Mytilus edulis: one gene and its partner. The protein of the gene in region 2 purifies or fractionates together with the protein of the main gene of each other region. This does not show direct contact. Links are inferred from orthologs where the notes say so. Each region holds a gene or a part of one and is shown on either strand. Other genes may lie near its edges.

Region 1 (7,000 bases), on a different chromosome or scaffold from region 2:
AAAGAATTGGATAAACATTTTTTTTCGCCACTCACTCATTTCAAATGACTTTAAAATCAGTGGCGGATCCAGGGGGGGGGGGTTCCGGGGGTGCGCACCCCCCCTTTATTTTGGCCGATCAATGCATTTGAATCGGGACATATGTTTTGCAACTTTGCACCCCCCCTTTGCCCTGGGCTAGCACCCCCCCTTTCGAAAATTCCTGCATCCGCCACTGAAAATAAATGCCCAAATTTCATGAAAATTTAAGTTGATCAGATTTTTTTTATCCTTTCATCTGCAGCTTTAGATCTGACTTTTGGTTGACTGACTTTTCATAATAAGGCTACAGATATCTTGTTTTCACAAAAGTTAGAGATTTTACCTACTTGTTAAGAGACATTTTTCAATGAACGATTTTGAATTTGAAAAATATTGTGAGGCTCCCAACAATATCTGGAGATATTGAATACAAGAACTATAAGGGGCATAATTTCCAAAGCTTCAAAAAAGAGGGCATAGGGACAACATTGACAAGGGATAATCAAAAATAATATGCAATATACTTTTTTTGGCATGTTCAAAGAAAGTTTTAGCCCTTATGGTATCATTCTAATATAGCTTTGAGTTCAATTTGTATTGCATTCTTATTTTCAGTAATAGATAATATTTTACCAGCACATATATAAGCAAAAAGCTAAAACAGGGGGAATAACTCCAAAATTAATTCCCTACAGTTTGAAAAACACAGATTTATTTATGACCTATATGGCTGAGATAATAGACGTTAATTAACGGGTTGTTTCACACCAAAGATGTCAATTGAACCCAGTGAGTTTTCCACTGAATTTGCTTGTAATAATCACTTTGATTTGAATGACACAAAGGTCAATTAGGGAATGACATCAATTGTATAACATTGAAAAGTTCACTGAAAAGATTTTTGAATCTAATTTTCGAAAAAAAAAGAAGATTTAAATTATTAACAGGAGGGACAAAATTGGGAGATTTTGACTCCCCCAAGAAGAATCACATGTGTGGGACTTGTCAACAGGTAAGGTTTATGCTTGACAAGCCACGATGGGTATATGCATTGTGATCAGGCTTTTCCATCAACAAATTAATCCCGACCCAAGTTGATCTGGCTCTAAGCTGATCCAGGTCAATATATACTGGATGCACTTTTAATAAAATACCATGTATAAAAGTGGAAAACAAACATTTCTCAATTTTTTATTTTTTTTTAACCTAAAAATATGAATGTTTGAGTGAAACAGCTTGAGATCAGCTTGCATTTTTGTGTACTGGTATTATAATAATTGGACATAAAAATTGATGGACCCGAAAGGTTTGATTTATATTATTTCACAATTTGGGTTTACCAAATTTTAACGTGTTTGATAATTCATACTTTTGGAAGTGAAGTATCTTTGAAAATCAGGGAAGCAATTTTGAAATCAAAGTTCATCTTTGCACACCTCAAAGTGAATTGTATCTTACTTTATCTTACATCTTTCTTACATGTATATCATATACATGTAGTATATATGCAAAATAATTTTAACTTTTATTTAGTGGATGCCAGCATGCAGGCCTTAATAATTTCCAAACTGTTCATTGAGTCTGTACACAGATGCAGGATGTAGGGATTTATTTTTTTTAATGTTTGGGACCTCAGGATTTCAGGATCAGGACCCCTCCAACCCCCTTCTAAAGAGGAGCAGATTCTTGACTTGGGTCAACCAAGGATTTGTATCTATAGTAAAACTATGTAAAAGTTATTTAATATTTTGGAATAAACTGAAGTATCAAACAATTGACTCCGAAAAAGGGAAGCTTGGTACTTATTTTTCTATAAAAAATTGTTTTAAAAAGGAAAAATATTTAGAATTACAGGACTTCAAAAAAAGACAGTCAATTTGTAAATTAAGAATAAGCGCTCACTCCATAAAAATTGAGACAGACAGATATTAAAAAAAACATATAGAAAGATTTGAGCGTCTATGTTCTAATTGCTCCCTTGGTAAAGTTGAAGATGAGCTTAATTTTTTATTAGAAAGCCCTCTTTATGATATTCAAAGGGACAATTTTTTTCAAGACATTTCTAACAATTGTTATAACTTTATAAATTTAAATAAATCTTCTAAATTTTTATGGCTCTTGACCCAAGAAAATGTTACTCTTGAAAAACTTGGCTGTTATATTTTTGACTGTTTTGAATTAAGGAGATCAGGAATGAACACTGACACTAAGTCAAGTAAATAATTTGAGAAAAAATACATATATATATACATGTATATAATGTAATTTTATCATTCTTTTATTCACAATATATATGTGGTTTTTAGCTTCATTCTGACCAATGCTTATATTCCAAATATATATGTATATGCAAACTATTATTGTTGTTGGTGTCAATTATATAAATTAATTGTATCTGATTTTATGCCCTTTATGGGCCCTGTAATTAGGGAAATAAAAATATTCTATTCTATTCTATAATTCTATAGTATACTATACAAATCCTTGGGTCAACCAATGCAGGTTTCCAAATAGCAATAAGGTCTATTGTGTTGTTCAACTGTATGCATAATTAAAATAAATATGCTTATTGATTATAATATTACCTTGTATTGTTTATTGTATTTACTGACAGCTTGTTTTAAGATTGCATCTGCGATGACCTGACTAGCTTGGTCACCAATTATGTAAATGTTGACAGGCGTAGTTGTCCATTTAAACATTGACAAAACAGTTGTTTGGAACTTTTGTTGTAGATTTGTGTTGTCTTTGGCATTTGTAAATGTAATTACAACGTTAATTTCATGTACTGGTTCATTTTTCTGGGCCTTAGCAGTGACCTGCGGTTCGTTTTCCAAAATAACTTTCACATTGCCCACTCCTTTCCCTAAAGGCACAGGGTCTGCTTGTGGTATTTTTGAGTCAATGTGATTAAAAAAAGATGTTGTCAAAAGAATTTGGTAGCAAATAATAATTATAACACATGTAATAAGGAAAGCAAGTATCTTCAGAACACCAGATGATCTCATATTCGGTATTCAGATGCATCGTTTGCATAGTTATCGTCAAAAATATGTATACAATCCCGGGAAGGTCTTAAAAAAAGAAAATGTAAAATTGACATATATTTTAAGTAATTTCTAAGTAACGGTTGTTCAAAAAATAAAAAATTAAAACGAATTATGAAAGCTTGTGAATTGTATTGAACTATTTTGATTTTGAAATGTGCTTATATCAGAAAGTGGTCTGGAAGCCGGTCAAATTACCCAATCTCCCATACAGACAGAGTTATCGTCCTTTCCCTGCCAATCGCAGCTGACTAAAGTTCTCGTCAATTTATTTCCCTGAGAAACAATTTCCCCGGGAAACAAAGTAATTTTTAAAACACCGGTATCCAATGGAATCACAGCTGAAAATTTCATTCATGCCAGCGAAACACTTTTAGAATATCTTCAACTTTTAATTAACACAAGTTTTGAACACTGTTACATACCAAATTTACTTAAAATTGGAACTCTTTTTCCTGTTTTCAAAAACAAAGGTGACATAAAGAATGCTAAAAATTACCGTGGGATCACTATAACACCAACCTACTCGAAGATCATAGAAATTATAATTAAAGGAAGGGAAAATAATAAGATTTTGAAACATCAAAACCCACTGCAAAAAGGTTTCACAGCAAAATCCACTCCATTGCTTTGTGAACTATTCATTGAGAAATTCGAAAGAGAAAATAAAGATCTCAAGTTACCAACCTATGTTGCATTACTGGATGGAAAATCTGCTTTTGATGTTGTAATTCATAAAAACCTGATACGACGTCTTTTTCAAATTGGATTCTCACAGCAATCTATTTTACTGATCAGCAATTTATATGAAAATGCAACTTCCTGTGTAAAATTGGGCAATACAATGTCAAATCGATTGTTTAATATTGAGCAAGGTGTAAGACAGGGTGTATCAACCCCCTACTGCATATTCTGAGCAATTCTGGATTGGGAGCTAAAATTGGGAATATGAACTGTTGTGCGCCAACTTGTGCTGACGATATTGCCTTGATATCCAGCAAATTAATCCCTTTGAACTCCAAAATATGATAAATTTAGCAGTTGATTTCAGCCAAAGAGAGGGATATCTACTACAGCCTCAAAAAAGTGTAGTCTAACCAATCAAAACATGTAATAAAATGCTAGATGTTGAACAAGGTTTTTGGAAACTTAAAAATATAGATATGCCCATTGTTCAAGACTCCTCTCATATTGGTATAAAAAAATCTCAAAAAGACTCTACTAATACAACCATCACTGAAAATATAAAAAAGGCCAGAAGATCTATGTACAGTCTTATGGGTGCTGGATTACATGGGGAAAATTGATTAGACCCTGAAACAATAGTCTCCTTATTTAGAACTTACATCTTACCAGTTTTGACCTATGGTCTAGAAGTTTTAATACCAACAGGCAAAAATTTAGATCTTATACAACAGCAACATAAAAGGTGGATTAAACAGATTTTATCTCTCAAACTAAATGTGGCTGACCCGACTGTCTATCTATATACTATCAGGCTTGCTCCCACTTGAAGCAGATCCATATTAAAATTGTCACACTATATGGGAATATAACCAGATCTCAAAGATCGTCCTTAGAATGGAGAATAGCTGAACGACAACTACAAATTAAAACCTACTCAAGCAATAGCTGGTTTATTGATCTGAAAAAGATATGTGGCAAATATGACATCATAGAGATAGAACAGTATCTTGATAAGCCATTAACAAAAATGGAATGGAAGAGGTTTATAACCAAAAAGATTCACAAGTACTGGGAGGGTGCCATAAAGACCAGAATGAAGGGGTACTCAACTCTAAGATATCTTAAATGTGAATATGATATTGGCAGAATTCATCCTTTACTTAAAACAACAAGTGCAAATATAACGGAGATCAAGAAACTGTCCATCTGCACTAAATTAGTTACAGGAACCTACATACTACAATCTAATAAAGCGGAGTATTCAAATTATGCAACAAATCCGATGTGTAGACTCTGTAATAAAGCTGACGAAACCATTGAAAATTTTATCTTATTGTGTGAAACAACGTCACAAATAAGGTCATCCCTTATCGTCAAAATTCTACACGAAGGTAGTCTGGCCATAGCAAGAGAGAGCCTGCAAACTCCTATTGACTTAATAACATTAATTATTAACCCTTATCATTACCTACCGAAGAAGATGTGCAAGGATGTTGAAGATAGAGTCGCTAATCACTTGGTACCGCTATGTCGCCAACTGTTTACACTTCATTCCAAGCGCTATTATGTGTTGACAAAAACTGATACAAAAGCAAACAGAAAATGAAGAACTGTGAAATCATTTTAGTTGTAATATATACATGTCGGGGTACACATGGATCTCCCTCTTTTAGTAGCTTTAAAGTCTATTAAATTTTTTACGGATTGCATTTAAATAAACTTTCTTCTTTTTTTTAACAGACTGAGTGTTAAAAAAAAATATGTATATAATTGTACTTATTGTCATTTTTTTGTGTTTCCAGTGGAAACATTTTTGTGTGGTTCCAGGGGCAACATTTTGTTATGTTTTCAGGGGCAACATTTTGTTATGTTTCCAGGTTTGTCTAAAAAAAATTTACTACTTGTTGTCAATTTCCCCCCCTCCTGGTATGGGCTTATATTAGAAATTGTTCATGTTTCTAAGGAACACATTTCATTCTTTTTTCATGTGTTTGCAGGGAGAACACAATTTTTTTTAGTATTTCCAGAGTTGTCTAGTAATTATTTTATAACTACTTGTTAATTTATAATGTTAATTGTCGCCTAGTATTGGTTTCTCTTAATTAAGAAAGTTCTCAAGGGACACATTTAATTTTATTACTAATTATTTTTCCTCAATCTCCCATACAGACAGAGTATACAGAGTTATCGTCCTTTCCTCCTCAATGAGGAGGAAAGGACGATAACTCTGTCTGTATGGGTCGTCCCTTCTCAATGGAGAGGAAAGGACGATAACTCTGTCTGTATGGGAGATTGCAAATTACCGGTTACGTTTTTTTCCACTTTTAACCAAACATTTTCGAAAAAAACACAACTCTGTCAAAAATTTTGATATTTTCCCAGAAAATTTACTTTAGATTATATGGTTTGAAATAAATGTGCTTTACATGATTGAACATAGAAATGGAAAAAACGTAGTCGGAATTAATCGGCTTTTAACAAAGATAGAGAAATTTAATATTCACAGCCTCTTGAATTTCTACCCATAAATAATTTTATAAAATTTTTTATAGGCCTGGTATAATATTTTTTTGTGTTTTTTTCTATTGCAGTTAAAATTATTTACTTATCAATGGATATGTCTTTTATATATGTTTTTTAGAATGGCACTAGCTGTCAAATTTATGTTCACAGATTCGACTCCTTATATTTAATTAATAACAATGTAAAACATTTATCCAAATTATAAAAAAGTCTAAAATAAACAATTTACAGGGCTTTGGCTCCACATATGTATCTTTGTTTCGTGTGCATTTTAGTTTAGACACCATCTAATTTAAGACTATCGAGTTGACATCCGAAGACCTCCGATGGTCATATAAGCTATGTACACATACATATAGATATAAATAGATTAAGAACTCGTGTAACTTTGATTGATTTTTATAAGTCTGTGTAATTTGATATTATTGATTAAAATATATGCTACTCATCGTTTTTACCTGTATAAGAATGATTTTTTTTGTGGATCGAATCAGTCAATCAATTGATTTATGGCTTTTTTTCACTTCAATGTTTACATTCTTTTCCCTTAAATAACTTAATTGAAGTTCACATGGAGACGGATTCAATGAGGTCGAATTATTCATTTGCAAGTAAATAACTCATTATCAATGTTTCGGAGCTTATTTTAACAAAGTTAGTGGTTACTGAAAGCGAACTATTATTTCACTTTTTCTCTTTCATTAATGAGTGAACCAAAAAAA
Region 2 (7,134 bases):
GAGGCAAATTAAAGAGAAATGAAAATTGGACAGACAGAAGGAAAGACGGTAAAGGGTTACACTTAATGACCCCATTGTTTATGGCGGGTGCATTAAATAATTGAAAATATATTTGAGGAAAATCATTTCATCATACATGTACATGTATGATGTAAAAATAGATGAATTGATATGGAAGTTTTTCTGCAGTAGCATAATCAGTGGTTCTCTGTGGGCGTTGCAGATTCATCCACCAACACAAACTGACCATGCTGACAAACACATATGTAGCCAATAGTCATGCTAGTACATGAACATGCTGAAAGTGGCCACCAACAACCAATCAATCAACACTATTATGGAAGTTTATCCTGGTATCATATCCATGATATCAGAGGGACATTCAAGAATCTTTGAATATTGATCATGTTTATGATTCTGGTTAAAATGTGCCATCATCACCATATTATACATTCAAATGACAGTATAAAAAGTTCCCATAGAAAACTGTTGGATATAGTATATATAATGCTATAGCTAAAGATATATTTCTGAATAAAAAACCTTGTAAATAAAATAAATCTTCAATTTAAAAGTTTAACAAAAATGCTTAAAAATTGTTCTTCTGTGACATAAGATTTATCATGTTTATTTTTATCATGTCATTTGAATGTATAATATGGTGATGATGGCACATTTTAACCAGAATCATAATCATGATAAATATTCAAAGATTCTTGAATGTCCCTCTGATATCTTTCGTGCCTCTTTTACAATTGTACATATAGTATTTTCTTTCAAAACTATGTTATGTGTATGTCAATTTTAACTTATATCATTTTTAATTACATCTCAGTATTAAGAACAGTTAATCAACTTTCAATACTATACTTCTTTTTTCCTAGACTTACAGCATGTACAGATTTTGCATCAAGGCAATTTACATTATTTGGATAGTCTAGCTACATGTACATAATCTAGAACAGAAATTTCCTATGGCTAAGGACAATTTTGATTAGCATAGTGTTGCTATTCATTATACATTTTATACACGATTATAAAAAAAATTACATGTACATATATATGTATATCATATTTTTGTACAATTGATAAGTCAAAAATGTATTAAAGTTTAAAAAAAAAGATCTAAAAAATTAGGTTAATTATGCACCCAGCCTCTCACAGATATTTAGGGTTCTATGTTGAAATACAAAATGTTTGCACCCAGCCTTTCCCATTTTAACAGGGTTCTGTGTGCAAATATGTTTTTAAAGGTACACCTGCCAAGCATGTACCTACATGACCTACTATGATGTAAGCTTTTAACAACCATGACTGGCTATACAGCCCTTACAAAATAAAAAAGAAGATACATGTATGGTATGATTGCCAATGAAACAACTGTCCACAAGCTAAGAGACCAAACTGACACAGACATTATATAATTAACAACTATAGGTCACTATTGTACTCCATGTACTCCAAATATCATATATATATATATGCCATGTATTGTAACCAGATAATGAACATGTAGCAATACGCATTTTAAACAATTAAACACAAAAGTACAAAAAATGTAGGAAGAATATGGATCATTGTGAAAACATAAAATGCAAAATTCATGATAATTATTCCTGTATTGTTATAAATATTTTACCCTGCAAGCTGACAACAATATAGAATGTATGCAAGATGCAACATACATGACATGTACTCAAATACTTTTCAATCACAGTATAAAGAGTATTGATCTGGTAATGACCAAGACATTTCTGCAAAACTTAAATTACATGTTATAACACATAACCTCAGACAGAATTACACGTGAAGACTCTACAAAAGTAATAAATATACATTTTAGAGACAAACAAAAATTACACAACATAATTTTTGTCTACTTTCAACAACTTTTCATGATCATTGTCCTTCATCTTAGGAACCTATAAGTTATAACAGATGAACAGTAAAATACAGGTCTCATCCAATATAGACTATATTAGACCGTTGGTTTTCCCGTTTGAATGGTTTTGCACTAGTAATTTTGGGGCCCATTATAGCTTGTTGTTCGTGTGAGCCAAGGCTCCGTGTTGAAGGCCATACACTGACTGTTGACCTGTAATGGTTTAATTTTTTAGATTGTTATTTGGATGGAGAGTTGTCTCATTGGCACTCACACCACATCTTCCTATATCTATTTGTTCAAGATTTGCTGAGAAAAATAGTTCCCTAAATTCATTTCAAAATATATACATTCTCGACTGTAGACGAGAGCAGCCTCAAAACCAAAACCGCAATGCATAATTTAGACAAGTTTGAAGATAAAGACATTAAATTTGGATAACTTACCGAATGGTTTCGAATTCAAAAATTTCCAGAGCTTAAAATCAAACCAGGATGTTCCAATTCTTCAATTCCTATTTTGCACAAAAACACCTTTCATGATGAATAAATTTTAAAATATGCACCCGGCCTTTTACATTTTCAAACGTTCAGTGTGCAAAATTTTCGTGGGTTGCTACGCCGGAACAGCAATTATGTGTTGAAATTCAATGAAGAAAACGTGTCCATTGCCTCACTGCCGTGTAATTTCTGTTAAAAAAATATTTAATCTCAGCTACCAATAACGCACAGATTAACGAAATACAATGTAAAACAGCTGACTTTTGCAAATTATTGATAAATTTTAGTATCTTTCTATCAAAGAAGATGTACAGGGGAGACAACTATTCAAAAGATAAGGCTTACTGTAAATTGTGAACGTGTCGCACGCATTAAATAATTCTTGATATCAATATAGAAAATGTTTGAAATACAAATTTGGAGAAGTCACCACTACACAAAATGTTCACTTCCCTCACAAAACAATAATCACGTTCTATAGCATTAAGTCCAAGTGTGAGACTGTCGGCATATTCAAACTATTGACCACCGGTGAGCACATGTCCTAGTTTAACCTCAAGAGTTTAACCTATTAAATGGTGTTAAGAGATAACATACACTTTATCTCCCTTGGCGACTGAAACTACTATAACATATTATATGTCATATGTCATAGCAGTTTTAGTTTGAGATGACGATGAACTAGCATGCAACCCTTGCACGATCGGTTACTTGGAGATTGACATAGCTTATATATATATATATATATATATAGCTATTAATAGACAATACTAGTTCATATAGACCTTGACCCTGACATAGAACATAGACATAGACGGCAGGTGGAAGATAGGTCCGCTGAGGTAGGACCTAAGGTATCAGGTGCCCTCGGGTATCGGGGGATTTGTCATCGATTGATTTACACGAAAATATAGTTCCCTATTTGGATCAATCTTAATACCAATTTAAATGTGACTTAATTCAAAAGAAATAAATACAATTCTTGGTTATATAATTATGCTGTAATAAACTTATTTCTTCGTTTTAAATGTAGGACTTCGTGGTCGTTGTATTGTTCGTGTTATGTATTTTTTTGTATGGTAAACTGAGTTTATTGGAGAGGAATTGGTTGTATTTTATGGTGTTTTTTGGCAGAACTCAGGTAACCTCCGTAATTTAAGAAAAGTACATACTATACTATGGTATATATTATGTTGTAGTAAACTAATTTCTTCATTCTAACTGGAGGACTTCATGGACATGATGAACATTGCATATTGTAATCCAGTGGTTTTCGTTTGTTTATGTGTTACATATTTGTTTTTCGCTCATTTTTTATATAAATAAGGCCGTTTGTTTTCTCGTTTGAATTGTTTTACATTGTATTATCGGGGCCTATTATAGCTGACTATGCGGCATGGGCTTTGCTCATTGTTGAAGGCCGTACGGTGACCTATAGTTGTTAATGTCTGTGTCATTTTGGTCTTTTGTGGATAGTTGTCTCATTGACAATTATACCACATCTTTTTATATTGCATAAATATACAGTTTATGTCATAATTTAAATGTGTTAAAGATAATTTCATATGATTATTCTGTGATAGATTAATTTCAAAAAAATCTTTATTTTAAACGTAGGACTTCGTGGGCATACTTTCATGACAGGGGTACCTTAGGTCACCACAAAAAAAAAACCACCAACATATTTAACCATTTAACTCAAGTTAACTCAGTTCACATTATGAAATGTATCACATGACAGTATGCGATGTCCATCATGTTGTTCTTCTTCTTCTTCTTCTTCTTCTTCTTCTTCTTCTTCTTCTTCTTCTTCTTCTTCTTCTTCTCTTCTTCTTCTTCTTCTTCTTCTTCTTCTTCTTCTTCTTCTTCTTCTTCTTCTTCTTCTTCTTCTTCTTCTTCTTCATCATCTTCTTCTTCTTCTTCTTCTTCTTCTTGTCACCGCATTATAGATATACTAGTTTTTTTAAATGCGTATTTTTTATAAATCAGTCTTTCATGACAAGGGTACCTGAGGTCACTTACCAAATACATGACATAAACTACTCAATTTCCATCATGTTAACGAATTCCTACATTTAGATTGAAGAAATTAGTTTATAATTATGTGACTTATATACGTTAGGATTATTTCTTTTATGTTTCCAAGTATCAGTGTAATTAGAAAGTAGAATAATGTATTTTTAGTTTATTTTATTTTTAGATCATATTATTACTACGCATAGGGGGCACTATTTGCACGATACCTTAAGTCCTACATAAGCGGACCTTTCTTCCACCTGCACATAGACATACAATATGTTACCATATGTCTCTGACCCTGATCACGAGATTTCCACACCAGTCTATATATTGACCTTTAAACTACCTGTCAAAAACTTATACAATTCCCGGTCAAATCCTGCGAAAATACGATTTTTATAAGAATCAGATTCTAATTAATTGAAACAGTAGATCTAAGTGTATAGGCCTGAAATGGTTATTCATGCATGCTCAGCGAGCATGACTACAAAAATTACAACCATAAAAATCGTGTGATGAAATGCAGCAAGTATTAAATTACATGGATAGCGTGTACATTGTTGTAATTTTTTATGCAAACAATATTACATAGCCGCGGCGCCTGTTCAAAATTAACGTAAAAAGCGATTTAGAACTAGTTCAGACAGAGTTCAAAAGGTTATCGGTGTTATTCGAGGTGTTATTATCATTTTTTTTAAATTGATCATTTTGTAGTTTAATCTTGTTAGTTTGGCGTTCGGTGGCAAACATGTCATGCATGTCAAGGACGACTATTAAACACTTCAGAAATAACATTATAAGCCTCAATTTCCATTTAGGTTTACCGTTATTCATAATACTAGCCTTTTGGTTACGTAGACAAATTCTTAATTTATTCTGGTATCAATCGTAACATACAATTCAAAAACTGTTAAATTTATATATTAAAGCAGAGACAAATATAAGAATAAGAATAAATTTATTTATTATTCCAATCAATGGCCCTTGATTGGCAGCATAACATGTACACATAAAACAATACATCATGATTTGTAACAGAAAAACATTTTTATATACTAAAATGAAACATTAAAAAATAGTTCAGACAGATGTTATTATCTTCATTCTATAAAAATCACATACATTTGATTCAAGGCAGGATCAGAACCATAAAATCATTACAATTATCATTGTTTTTACATACATTAATTAACATTTCGTCTAACATCTAGACATGTAATAATATAGCTCTCTAAATATTTAAGCACAGACAAATTTTCATTTAAGAATTGAACATGTTGAATGATTCTTTTTGTAACTTCATTGGGGTGTAAAAGCGTTGACCGAAGTACATTTTGTATGAAGCAGCGCTTCATTCTAAAAATGTGCGCACGGTCAATGCTTTTACAACCCTATGAAGTTACAAAAAGAAGCATTCAATACTTATAATTACATTTTTTTTAGCTATGATCATAAAAACACGAATTTTATATATATTTTTATTTTAATTCACCTCTGCACTTTATTGTGGGACCACGTGTTATCATGAATGAAAAGTTTTATTTAGTGATGCAATTGTTTAAGGAATAACATGTGATGTGCAGTTAGCCTATCAGAATAAAGTATTACAATGAAACATACATCTAATATAATTATTAGTAAGTAACCAAACAAATTTTGCTCATTTGAAAGATATATAAAATTAGGACAGATACAGTTTATCTCCTTGAAAATCTCCCTATCTTTTTTGTATATGTGTATGCTGGACAACTAGTTATAAAATGTTGTTCATCTTAAACCAGATTTCAGTAGAGTAGATTTCTTACAAATCCTTTGGTCTCTTTCTATATATAATTTTATACTGAGAAAATTTATGATAAAAGAGATGATTTTTCATTTCCTATAGTTAATTATCCATTTTTAGATGGTGACGTTCCATTGTCACCATCTTACGGTGTTTATATATCTCAACTTGTACGATTCGCTCGTGTATGTAACAATGTTTTAGATTCTAACGAGAGAAATTTATGTATTACTGAAAAATTATTACACCAGGGTTTTCGATATCACAAACTAGTCAAAACATTTACTAAATTTTATCATCGGTATAAGGACATCATTCGTAAATATAGCTCAACATGCAGACTTCTTATACGTTCAGGTAGTCACATCCAATTTTTTATGGAAATATTCTTTATAAAGCACAAAAATGTCAGTATTCACCTCAGAAACTAACAAAACCTTTAAATAGACTTATCAAGAAGGGATATAGTTACGATACTGTTGTCAGGTCACTAAAGATTGCTTATTTTGGCGTTAATATTGATTCACTTATAGGGTCTTTGCATCGGAACTAAACACATTTATTAAAAAAACAGTTGTTGGCATGACACGAGTTATGTTCTTCTCATATATGTTAGTGATGGTATGATACTAAACCCCTATCGGGAAGGATTGTGCCTGATATTCATATGATGAAATCATAATCTTTCAATCAGTTTAATTGAAGTCTGGAGCTGGCATGTCAGTTAACTGCTAGTAGTCTGTTGTTATTTATGTATTATTGTCATTTTGTTTATTTTCTTTGGTTACATCTTCTGACATCAGACTCGGACTTCTCTTGAATTGAATTTTAAATGTGCGTATTGTTATGCATTTACTTTTCTACATTGGCTAGAGGTATAGGGGGAGGGTTGAGATCTCATAAACATGTTTAACCCCGCCGCATTTTTGCGCCTGTCCCAAGTCAGGAGC

The links. The genes of interacting proteins can lie anywhere in the genome.
Region 1: the proteins of proton-coupled zinc antiporter SLC30A1-like (region 2) and xyloside xylosyltransferase 1-like purify together in Homo sapiens (co-immunoprecipitation; 3 studies listed by BioGRID and IntAct, with this or other methods). This does not show direct contact. The link is inferred for Mytilus edulis from reciprocal best matches to the Homo sapiens genes SLC30A1 and XXYLT1.

What each region holds. Positions count from the first base shown.
Region 1 is NC_092356.1:48,352,075-48,359,074, forward strand, and holds the start of xyloside xylosyltransferase 1-like, read right to left. Parts: upstream 3,056-7,000; 5' UTR 3,030-3,055; coding exon 2,607-3,029; intron 1-2,606. UniProt on the Homo sapiens protein: Alpha-1,3-xylosyltransferase, which elongates the O-linked xylose-glucose disaccharide attached to EGF-like repeats in the extracellular domain of target proteins by catalyzing the addition of the second xylose.
Region 2 is NC_092350.1:45,663,222-45,670,355, forward strand, and holds the start of proton-coupled zinc antiporter SLC30A1-like, read right to left. Parts: upstream 3,095-7,134; 5' UTR 2,976-3,094; intron 2,927-2,975; 5' UTR 2,329-2,926; intron 1-2,328. UniProt on the Homo sapiens protein: Zinc ion:proton antiporter that could function at the plasma membrane mediating zinc efflux from cells against its electrochemical gradient protecting them from intracellular zinc accumulation and toxicity.